Mus musculus: one gene and its partners. The protein of the gene in region 3 interacts with the protein of the main gene of each other region in a biochemical or structural test. Links are inferred from orthologs where the notes say so. Each region holds a gene or a part of one and is shown on either strand. Other genes may lie near its edges.

What was found.
Region 1: of the proteins of Jun (region 3) and Mapk9, one has a biochemical effect on the other in vitro, tested with the Homo sapiens proteins (17 studies listed by BioGRID and IntAct, with this or other methods). The link is inferred for Mus musculus from reciprocal best matches to the Homo sapiens genes JUN and MAPK9.
Region 2: the proteins of Jun (region 3) and Batf3 form a complex in vitro, tested with the Homo sapiens proteins (2 studies listed by BioGRID and IntAct, with this or other methods). The link is inferred for Mus musculus from reciprocal best matches to the Homo sapiens genes JUN and BATF3.

The regions. Positions count from the first base shown.
Region 1 is NC_000077.6:49,845,616-49,849,361, reverse strand, and holds the start of Mapk9 (mitogen-activated protein kinase 9), read right to left. Parts: upstream 2,612-3,746; 5' UTR 2,387-2,611; intron 1-2,386. UniProt on the Homo sapiens protein: Serine/threonine-protein kinase involved in various processes such as cell proliferation, differentiation, migration, transformation and programmed cell death.
Region 2 is NC_000067.6:191,097,662-191,101,331, forward strand, and holds the start of Batf3 (basic leucine zipper transcriptional factor ATF-like 3), read left to right. Parts: upstream 1-752; 5' UTR 753-797; coding exon 798-866; intron 867-3,066; coding exon 3,067-3,171; intron 3,172-3,670. UniProt on the Homo sapiens protein: AP-1 family transcription factor that controls the differentiation of CD8(+) thymic conventional dendritic cells in the immune system.
Region 3 is NC_000070.6:95,049,287-95,052,933, forward strand, and holds the start of Jun (transcription factor AP-1), read right to left. Parts: upstream 2,937-3,647; 5' UTR 1,986-2,936; coding exon 981-1,985; 3' UTR 1-980. UniProt on the Homo sapiens protein: Transcription factor that recognizes and binds to the AP-1 consensus motif 5'-TGA[GC]TCA-3'.

The DNA of each region.
Region 1 (3,746 bases), on a different chromosome or scaffold from region 3:
AGGTCAAGTATAAACCATTAATAATTATTTTTTAATAAAATTGCCACCTTCTTAGCCAGGTGTGAAAGATAACTTTGTATGTAGACAAATATAGCAGCCTACTGACAAGTTTATAGTTTTCTTTTAAGATCAGATTTTTGTTTTATCTTATAAGCTTTTAAAAATTAGTAACTCATTAATAATTACTTTGTTTGGCATTTTGATTTGTACAGAAGGTTAAGACTTATTTTTCCATTTGAAACTGACAAATCCAAGTATACCTTTGACCATTCATAAAGGACACAGCAAAGTATCCGTTAACAAGTAATTATAAAGTCCCGAGACCCTGCAAATTAAAACCTCAGGAAAACCAAAGCTCTCCAGAGATTATGCCCCAAAAACGACAATTATTTTTAACTATGCAGGACTCTTCTGAAAGGGAGGAGAGAAACATTTATAGATTGGCTATTGTTCTTCCAGAACAAATCGAAAACCAAACACAAATAGAGCTGAGAACCTTAGATTGAGGGCAATCTGGGTTCGAGTTCTCACTGGCTGCCTGCGCTGAAGCAAACTGCTGAAGCACTGAGCCTCCGTTTCTTCCTCTGTGGAACCCAGTGTGCCAGCCACACTCAAATGAGTGCCTGGCTGGTATCTGGGGAACAGGGCCTAGCTCCTCTGGCCTCAGGCTACAGTTCCTGCTCCTCCATGCTTCTCCCTCCCACACTGCCTGCTCAGGAGGTTAGCAGTGCTGCATGAGGTCCGCATTTTGGCTTGGCACCAAATAGCTAGTTTTAATTAGCTATTGCCAACACTGACATATCAGAGTCCAGATACAAACTTGGAATCCTGGCTTTTACAAAAATTGCTGAACCAAGTTCTGGAGCTCTGGGGTCTCCAGCACCCCATAAAGCCCCACACTTGCCCTGGAGGGCTGATTCTTGGCTCCAGACTGAGCAGAGTTCCTTGTTGATCTTGCCCTTTCACTTTCTGTCTGTCCCTGCTCAAGGCCCTCCAGCACCCCCACCCCACACCCTCCATTTCTAGGGCACAGACCCTTCACTATAGCTGGTGTCATATCCTGTCCTAGAACTGTGTGCATGCCAGTCTGCTCTATGGGGCTCCTGGACTCTCTGGGGGACGGTACCCTGTTGCTATCTCCTTTGTGTCCCCAGAGCCCAGCAGAAAGCATGACCTAGATAATACAGAATCCAGTAGATAACTCCTGAATGTGTGGAAGGAAGCCAGAGCAAAACTCTTACCAAAACGTATTTTTTTTATCACAAATTGTTCTGACAGCTACTAGAAAGAGATTAAAAACATGAAAATATTTCACAAAGTGAGAATCAGCGTCTGTTTGCTTACAAGTTTCACAAGTTAAAGTCACCAACAAAATGGACAAAGCAGAGATAATAATAGGCAGGGATGGTCTTACTGTTCATTCACTGATCTGACTTTACAGATGAAACAACTACCTGTACTCACCATGCTATACAAAAAGGACGGGGCAATAAATCAGATAGCATCAATCCAGAGTAGGTACTGGATGGAAAATTAAAGAAACTGATGAGCGAGAATGACTAAGCGAGGGAAAAGGGTGGTCAAGCTAGGTAGGCCTCGCCTATAACAAGACACTGAACCACAGGAGGAAGCGATGTGAGAGAAGACAGCTGGGTAAAAATCTTATAGACAACTCTGAACATAGAGAAATCGAAGTGCAAAGGTCCTGAGGTAAATAAATGATTTTGGCATGCCCAAGGCAGGTGAGCTTAGGATAGGAGAGCAGAGATCTGCTTCTGTTAAGAGGGGAAGGAGTGGCGGAGGAGGTGGGCAGGGCCCACTCTGGCTTTGCTGGGCACTGAAGATGAATGACAAGGCTCGGGAGGGGGGGCAGAAGTGGGGGAGGACTCTAAGCGGATGAGGGGGAGTTCCTACGACACTCACATCAGCAAGGGAGCATTTATTTACCCACTCAGATGCTCTCAAATGTGCGCCTTAGGCTTCTCTGCCCTAACGCTTTGAGACAGTTACACTGCCCGTTAACAACCCCGACCAAACCCTAGACATTCTACCATTACTCCCGAGGGGAAAGCAGAGGGCCAGTGAGGGTCGCAGTCACCGCCAAGGTCGCGGGGACCAGAGCTCAGGCTCCAGGGCATGCAGCGGGGTGCAGCGACGTGCCTCACAGCTGGAGGAAAGGCGCCCACAGATCCCTGCGGGCAGGTCTGCTGGGGCCCGGCCAGACAGCCGGCCTGCAGCCCTGGGGCTGCACACACCAGGCGGGAGAGAACGACCGCGGAACCGTGGATAGCCGGGCAGTACCGAGCAGTCCACCCCCTGAGCCCCGCACCCCAGGCCCTGCGTGGCCCGAGCAGCCCCGCCAGGCCTAGCCGCCCGCCCGGCTCACCTCGGCTCCGCGCCGCCGCGCCGGAGGCAGAGGGAGGGCACGCTGGCGGCGATGCGTTCTGGCGGCACCCAGCTCCACGACCTGGACCCGGTCGCCCCGCCCCGCTCTGCTCCGCCCCGTCGCCGTCGCAGTGGGTGTGAGGGGCGCGGGGCGCTGCGACCCTTCCGGTCCGGTTCCCTTCTGCTCCGCTGCTGCCACCGCCGCCGCCGCCGCCGCGGCGCTCAGTCTGACGGATTCTTAGGCCAGCCAATCAGAACTAGGATATCCAGACAGGCGGGACCAATTGAGACTGGGGGTGGGCAAGGCTGGGCAGTACGGGCGTGGCTGGAGGCTGGGTGTGGGCGGGGCCAGTGGCGCGCTCTGGATGCCCTAGTGCAGAGTGGCGCCCCCTAGGCGGCTCGCCGTCTGACCGTCTGCTTGCTGGAAGAGCGTCCGCCAGTGTGCACAGAGTTAGGGATCCAGGTCAAGCTAGGACCGTCTCCTGAGCCCGCCCTCCAGGGCCAGGAGACCCGCATGCGCCGGAGAGGGTGGGCCAAGGGGAGCCAGAGCCGGGGAGGGGCGAGGCGTGACTTTGCGACTACAGTGTAGGAGCCATTGTCAGGCCTCGGTTGTAGCAGGTGCAAATGGAGAGGCGACTTGGAAAAGGACTAAAGACAGCCGGGTTAGACAAGAGTTCTGGGCATGATCAAGGACTTGAAGCCTGGGAACCTGGAGTACAACGGCCCCGGAGGAAGAACCAGGACAAGCCGCGGGGCCTTGGGGTTTGTTTTTCACTAAGGCAGATGCCACACTGAATGGGATCATAACAGGGGTGCGGCCAGATGTCCAGAAGGTGGGGGTTGGGGAGACGGTGACCATGACCCTGATGAGTCAGTGACGGGTATAGCCTAAAGAGGCCTCTTATAAGAGACAAGTTTCTGCTTTGGTGTAGAGGGGTGAGGAGGGTGTCCGTCCAGTGCTGAAGGGCTTCTAGACAGTGGGTCTTTAACACTGCTGCTTTTGTTGACGCTTCTGCAGACCTCTGGCTCTCAAGTAGGTTCCAGAAGGTCTGAGGTGAATCAGATGTTTGGAAAACTCAGAATTTGGGATTCTGACTACTCTGTGTTTTGATAGAGAGGCTGCAAGTGAGACAGGGACGTTGAACACACTGAGGGAAGCTACGAACAGGTTAGGCTGAGGACTGGTCAATAAGGGATTGGAAAAATGGAGACAGTAGTTGACAAGTGGTGTCTATGGTGGTAGAGCTGTAGTCACAAGATGCCAAGGAGGAGCCAGGGAGAAGGACTCTGCGTATAGGAAGATCAAGAGACTAGGAGGCCCCATGAATCTCCGCAGAATTTGAAGAGAGCTGTGACTCTGG
Region 2 (3,670 bases), on a different chromosome or scaffold from region 3:
CCTTAATCTTGAAGAAGCAAATGCAGCTAGCCCATGGGACCTTAGCATGGCCTGCCCAGACCTTTGAATGTGTGAGGATGGACTTCAAGCGTGGTTTCGACTCACAACCTCTCTTTGCCGCTCCCCCCGCCCCGCCCCCCCCCATCAGAATTCGCCCTCCCAGTCACCTCGCCCCCTCCCTCCCACTGGACCAGACGCCGCCGCAGTGGAAAAGCCCTGAGGCTCCCGCTGTCCCCATAGCGCGGACGGTCTCTGCTGCGGTCCCTGCCCACTGGCGCCACCGGTCCAGGTGCCGCCTCGCCCGGAAGAAATCTCCCCATCGGCGGTGACCGGCGCTGGGGCGCTAAGGGAGGCTGCGAAGGGACATTGAAGCCACCGAGCCACTCACTGGTGCTTCTCACCCAAACTTCCCAGGAGCGGCCGGAGGACCGTCCACGGCGGCGCTGCGCCAGCACCCCGTCTCCACCCACTCGGGGTCTTCTCCGTGGGTGGGCTTCGGTGCTGCCACGTGACTTCCACGAAGAGCGGGGGCCCTTAGCGGAAAGCAGCGACTTGGGTGGGATCCTGGACCCCGAGGTGCGGCGAGAGGGTGGGGGGAGGAGGAAGCAGGGGCGGGGTGGGAGTAGGGGGCGGGGCCGGGCCGGGCCGGGACTGGACACGGGGTGGGGAGGCGGGCACCGTGGAGCCCGGAGAGCGGGAAGCGGCGGGGCGGGGCGGGGCAGCAAGTGCGGGGATGCGGGCGGAGCGCGGGTAGCAGAGCCCCACGTTCAGGGCGCCCCGTGTGGCGAGCGCGCGGCATGTCGCAAGGGCCCCCCGCGGTCAGCGTGCTGCAGAGAAGCGTGGATGCGCCCGGGAACCAGCCGCAGGTATTGGACAAGGGGGCCGGGTGTGAGGACCGGGTGAGGGTGAGGGCAGAGCTCCAGGTGCGCCCCCGCCGTGCGCCCCCGCCGTGCGCCTCAAGCGCTTGGGAAGGCGGCAGCCCCTCCAGACTCGGCGCCGAACACGTGGGTCCGCGCTGCTGTGGGCAGTTTCATCCTTGACTCCTGTGGGCGCTGGTGGGAGGGGGCCCGGAGCTCCGATATTATGAATTCAGCCCAAAGGGGCGGTTCGTCCCTGCATCCAACCCACTGGCCAAGATCCGCATGGGGAATGTCGGACCGGTCAATTTGTGGGTGTGGGGTTTTGTCTCTAATGGGCAGACTCCACCCCCAGCACGGGTGGAAACTTCTCGCCCCAATATGATCAGCACCCTCTGTTGTCCCAGCTTTCAAAGCTGTAGTCACAAGAAGCTGAGACCAAATAGAGGCCACTGTTGGAACACTTCTTGGCCACCTGGTTGCTTTATCAATAGATCAGGTCTTATTTTTCTTAGTCACCACACACACTCCCAACTCTCTGCTTGAAGTGTAATGTCCCAGGATGACCCTGGAAGTCTGAGCCAAGTAGTTGGAGTGGCCTTATACTATTTGCTTCGACTAGCGGAGCCTCAATTTCCCCATCTATAAGATGAACTCTTTTTGTATCTCCTGAGGACGTTTGCAGAGGTCATGTGAGTGATGGGTGATTTGTGTCTCCATTCGTCATTCCTGCCCAGAGGGAAGGTGTGATCATCTGTGGCAGGTGATGTGACAGCTCCCAGAGGACAGGAGGCATGCTGCCCCTTGCCCTGAGACTTGTTGGCTTTGGAGAATAGAGACATTATTTCCTGTCAAGCACCAGTGGAGAGCCAGTGAGGTCAAATCTCAGGTCAGCTTGATTCTGGGCAGCAGAGCCCAGCAGTGTTCTGAGTACAGGGCAGGGTCTTAGTTATTATATACGGTGGAAGGCTTTGTGAGGGTGTAAAAGCTGAAGTTACATCGTTTATATGGCATGTCCCCCTGGATGCTCCAGGTGTGTTTATCAAGACCTTTGGGGTGTAGTGATGCAGGAGTACAATTCCAGAGCTAGGGAGGAAAGGGAAGGGAGACTACGTGAAACTGTTGAAGAAGGGGGTGGGGGGAGGACTTCTGGAAGGCACGTTTTGACACCTGTGTTCTCCTGAGCAGGTGTTGGGTCTGCTGTCTCTTCTTATCTATGCCTGGGATTCCTGGCTGAAGCCCTGAGTTTGTACGCCAGCCTCTGGGTTTTGCTGTTGCTGTGGCTCCAGATTACACCCTGAGCCTCACCTACCACTAAGCTCCCTCCCCATCTAGACACCTTTTGAACTCAGTCTTGAAGGACATTTTTTTTCCTCCCCTGATGGTGTCAATTGCAGTTCTGGAAAGCAGACCCTTTCCTCTAAGTAAGCTCTCGCTGTGGTACGTGCATTTTTTTCTGCCTGCCCACTTCATGTCACCTCATGAAGGATTTTTGGATATTTGGTTAAGAACTCTCAAAACGCATCACAGATTTGCATTTGGAATAACCCTGACCTCTGAAAAGAAAATGTCAGCCAAGTGTTGTTCAAGAGAGCATGTCGTCATTAGTGTTCCAGAGTTTTCCACATACTGGTAGAGCTGTGTGGTTGCAGTTACTAATAAATGCATAACTATGGTCTGTATACAGTTTCAGAAGGACTTGCCAGTGTGTGGTAGTTTAAAGGCTGTGCACAGCAAGTTCTAGCGAGCACACACCCCAGTCTTTCTCACTCTCAGATGAGCAGTAACAGCACCGCTCTTCCAGGCAAACGCCCTGTGGGGCAGAAGTTTGTGAACGTTGGTTTGGGGACCAGCAAACCTGAGTTCCACTTCCCACTCACCCCCATGCTGGCCGTGGTACCTGGAGAACTTCCCTAACCTGAGTTTCTGATTCCTCGTTGTCTCATAGTATTTTTATTTTTTGTGGTCCTGGGTATGGAACACAGGGCCTGACATATCCCACACATATGGCACCACTAAGCTGCACCCCAGACCTTATATTCCTCATTTTAAAACAACAGTCTTTCTATACGCTTTTCAGTATGTGGGTGGTGATTAATATAAAGCAAAGCCCCACCACAGGATAGGTGTTCCTTAACAAAACCTCTCAGTAGCCCACTGGAGCATGGTGAGAGTCTGAGAGTCTTACCTCACCACATGTCATCCCCAGAGCCCCAAGGACGATGACAGGAAAGTTCGAAGGAGAGAGAAAAACCGGGTTGCAGCTCAGAGGAGCCGGAAGAAGCAGACCCAGAAGGCTGACAAGCTCCACGAGGTGAGCCTGTGGTCAGGTCAGGACTACAGGACAGCCACAGGGACAGCTGTCTCCTATCGGGGGAGGGGGCAGTGATGGCATCACGGTGCTCATCATCAGTCCTTCCAGTCTGATTCTTCTGGGTCCTCCCAGCCTATTGCTTTGCTTCTGTATTCTCGGGCCTCTTCCTCTCAGCCCCAGCCCCCGGGCTTCTTCCCACGCTTGATTTTTCTCTCACTATAGACTCAAACAAAAGCTAGATGTGGGGGCTCTCACACTATAGCACTCAGGAAGGTGGAGGCAGGAGAATACCCAGCCTGAGGCTAGTTGGAACTACAGAGAAACTGTCTATAGAAACAATAGTGACAACAGTAATAGTAATTAAAGTTCTGGAGGAGCAGCTCAGTGGAGTGCTTGTCTAATGTGCACAAGAATACCCTGGGTGGGAGTCTCAGCACCACATAAACCAGCCGTGGTGGAAGGAACACGCCTTCGAGATCAGCACTCGGGGGAGAGGCAG
Region 3 (3,647 bases):
GCGGGCTGACCCTCTCCCCTTGCAACAGCCCTTCTTCCAGCCTTAAGAAACACCACACCATCTTCTGGTGTACAGTCTGGACTTGTGTGTTGCCGGGGGAGAGAGTATGAGCCAATGATAGCATGCAGGGTATCTATTCCTACAATCAGACAGGGGACACAGCTTTCACCCTAGTATATTGGGCACTCAGCTGTCACTTCATCTAGCTATCATTATCTATGGATAATGCAGCAAAGAGGTTGGGGGCTACTTTTCAATAGTTTATTGTATTTTCTTAAATATCCTTTCTGGAAATTTTCAGAAACAAAACATAAAAAAATTATATACTTTATTACAAATGGTAAACTCAGAATGCTTCAAATCTCTTATTTACAAACACTGGGCAGGACACCCAAACAAACAAACATGGAATAACTTACAAAGGCAGGAAGCTGTTTATTGACAGTAATCAGCTTTCATCAAATTAAAAAAAAATATATATGTACATACACAGTTGAGAGAGGCAGGCCAGGGGAGTTCATCTGCAGTCTAGCCTGGCACTTACAAGCCTCCCCCCCCTTCCCAGCCCTCCCTGCTTTGTGTTAAGGAGCACTACAGAAGCAATCTACAGTCTCTATTGCAGTTTGTAACCCCTCCCACCCCCCTTTAATACTGAATGAGATCGAATGTTAGGTCCATGCAGTTCTTGGTCAATGTTAACGAAAAGTCCATCGTTCTGGTCGCGCGCGGGCACAGCCCGTCCGCAAAGTCTGCCGGCCAATAGGCCGCTGCTCTCTGGCTCCACGCCAAAGCCAGGCGCGCCACGTCCTTCCCACTCCAGCACACTGGGGGCGCCGTCAGGTCGCAACCCAGTCCATCTTGTGTACCCTTGGCTTCAGTACTCGGACACTTTTTTTTTCTCTGTCGCAACCAGTCAAGTTCTCAAGTTTGTCTCTGTTATTTTTTTTCTTCCATTGCCCCTCAGCCCTGACAGTCTGTTCTCAAAACGTTTGCAACTGCTGCGTTAGCATGAGTTGGCACCCACTGTTAACGTGGTTCATGACTTTCTGCTTAAGCTGTGCCACCTGTTCCCTGAGCATGTTGGCCGTGGATGCCAGCTCGGAGTTTTGCGCTTTCAAGGTTTTCACTTTTTCCTCTAGCCGAGCGATCCGCTCCAGCTTCCTTTTCCGGCACTTGGAGGCGGCAATGCGGTTCCTCATGCGCTTCCTCTCTGCCTTGATCCGCTCCTGAGACTCCATGTCGATAGGGGACAGGGGCGGCGTCTCTCCCGGCATCTCCGGCACGGTCTGCGGCTCTTCCTTCAGGGCTTGCAGCCGCGGGTGCTGCACCGGGATCTGTTGGGGCAAGTGGTGCGGCGGCTGAGGCGGCTGCTGCTGCTGCTGCGGCTGCGAGGGAAAGGCCAGCCCGGCCGCGCCATAGGAGGGCGCCCCACCGCCGCTGCTCAGCGCACCCGGGTTGAAGTTGCTGAGGTTGGCGTAGACCGGAGGCTCACTGTGCAGGCTGGCGCTGTAGCCACCACCGCCGCCAGCGCCTGCTACTGAGGCCACCGCGGGAGCCACCATGCCCGCCCCGCTGACCGGCTGTGCCGCGGAGGTGACACTGGGAAGCGTGTTCTGGCTATGCAGTTCAGCCAGGGCGCGCACGAAGCCCTCGGCGAAGCCCTCCTGCTCGTCGGTCACGTTCTTGGGGCACAAGAACTGGGTGGGGGTCGGTGTAGTGGTGATGTGCCCATTGCTGGACTGGATGATCAGGCGCTCCAGCTCCGGCGACGCCAGCTTGAGCAGCCCGACGTCGGGCGACGTGAGAAGGTCCGAGTTCTTGGCGCGGAGGTGCGGCTTCAGACTGCCCACCGGGTCGGCCAGGTTCAAGGTCATGCTCTGTTTTAGGATCTTAGGGTTACTGTAGCCGTAGGCACCGCTCTCGGACTGGAGGAACGAGGCGTTGAGGGCATCGTCGTAGAAGGTCGTTTCCATCTTTGCAGTCATAGAACGGTCCGTCACTTCACGCGGGGTTAGCCTGGGCTGTGCGCAGAAGTTTCGGGGCCGCAACAGCGCGCCGGGAAGCGGGGGGATACCCGCGCGTCCCCGCTTCTGTAACAAAGTTTGTTTAGGAGCGTGCGCTCCAGACGGCAGTGCTTCCCCCTGAGCCCTCCTCCCCAGTTCGCTCCAGGGAGCGCAGGGTTAAGACTCCGCTAGCACTCACGTTGGTAGGCTCCCGCGCGATGCCGAGCTTTGAAAAGTCGCGGTCACTCACGGAGCGCTCTCGGGGAGCAGCGGTTCCTTGGAGCCCGCAGACCAGTCCCAGCAACAGCGGCTCTCCGGCGGTGCTGACCAGTCGTCACGGAATTCTCGGTGGAAGCCCGCGATCGGGCTCTGCCGCCCGGCCTCCGACAACTGTCCCCTCCTCCGCTGTGAGGGGGAGGGGGACGCTAGGCAGCCGCGGCTAGCGCTCGCCCAACTTCAGCCGCCTGTGCGAACTGGTATGAGTATAGGTTCCTCTTCTCCCTTTTCTTTACAGTCTCGGTGGCAGCCTTAAGGCGCAGAAGAGATTTGCAAAAGTTCGCTCCCGGCCACTTGTTACCGGTCCTCTGGGTCAGGAAAGTTGCTGGCCGGTAGCCGCTCGCCTATTTCCTCGCGCGGTCGGGAGCCGCTCTCGATGCTGTCAGCAGCGCCCGGACTTGTGAGCTTCTTCTCCGTGGAAGGCGGGAGAAGGGACTCTCCAAATGCTCCCCAAAATACCGGTGCAGGAGCCGCGGGCGCTGGATCCAAGCAGTTGGTGAGAAAATGAAGACAAACGGATGAACAGTCCGGAGTCCGCGGCCGACCGGGTTGGCCAAGTCCGTCCGTCTGTCTGTCTGTCTGCCTGAGCGCTCTCCTGCCAGGCTGTCTCTGCCACACTCAGTGCAACTCTGAGTCCTTATCCAGCCTGAGCTCAACACTTATCTGCTACCAGTCAATCCCTAAAAATAGCCCATGATGTCACCCCGAGGCTTTCCCATTGGCTTGCGTCGTTCTCAGGGGGGCGGGCCCACCCGTCGCCATGGAGACCTCACCCTAGAAGATTCTTCTCTGGGCCCGCGAAGGCTCACGGGATGAGGTAATGCTCCGCTGCGCTCCTACAGTTGGGCCCTTCTTTCTCCTCCTCCCCCCCCCCCCTCCCGCGCTCAGCTTCGGCTTGTGTTCCCGGGTTCCCTCCCCGGCGCGTCTTTCCCGGCCCGCCCGGTGCATTGTGGGCTGACGTCTTGGTTTGGCTGTCTAGTGACGGAGGCTGCCGGTCGGCAGGACCCTTGCGGAGTCTGTCGGAGGCGGGCTCAAGTTCAGGGCTGGGGACTGGGACCGAGACGCGGGGATCCAGAAAGCAGGGGAGGCGCGCTAGTGGCCGGGGGCGGAGAGCTTGGGTGGGAGTGAAGGTTGCACACAGGCGCGCGCCCGCGCGCGGGCACACACACACACACACACACGCACGCACGCCCGAGAAAGGGCTGAATGATCTGAGTGACTGAAGCTGGCTCCGCACCCCCGCACTTCCGGGGGACAGAGCGATGCGGGTTAAAAGGGTTGTGTGCGCCCTGGGTGTGGGAGCACGTAAGTGCGTTGAAGTTGAGCGGGTTTGAGAGTAGCCCTCCAAGATGAGTATGCTTGGAAGTT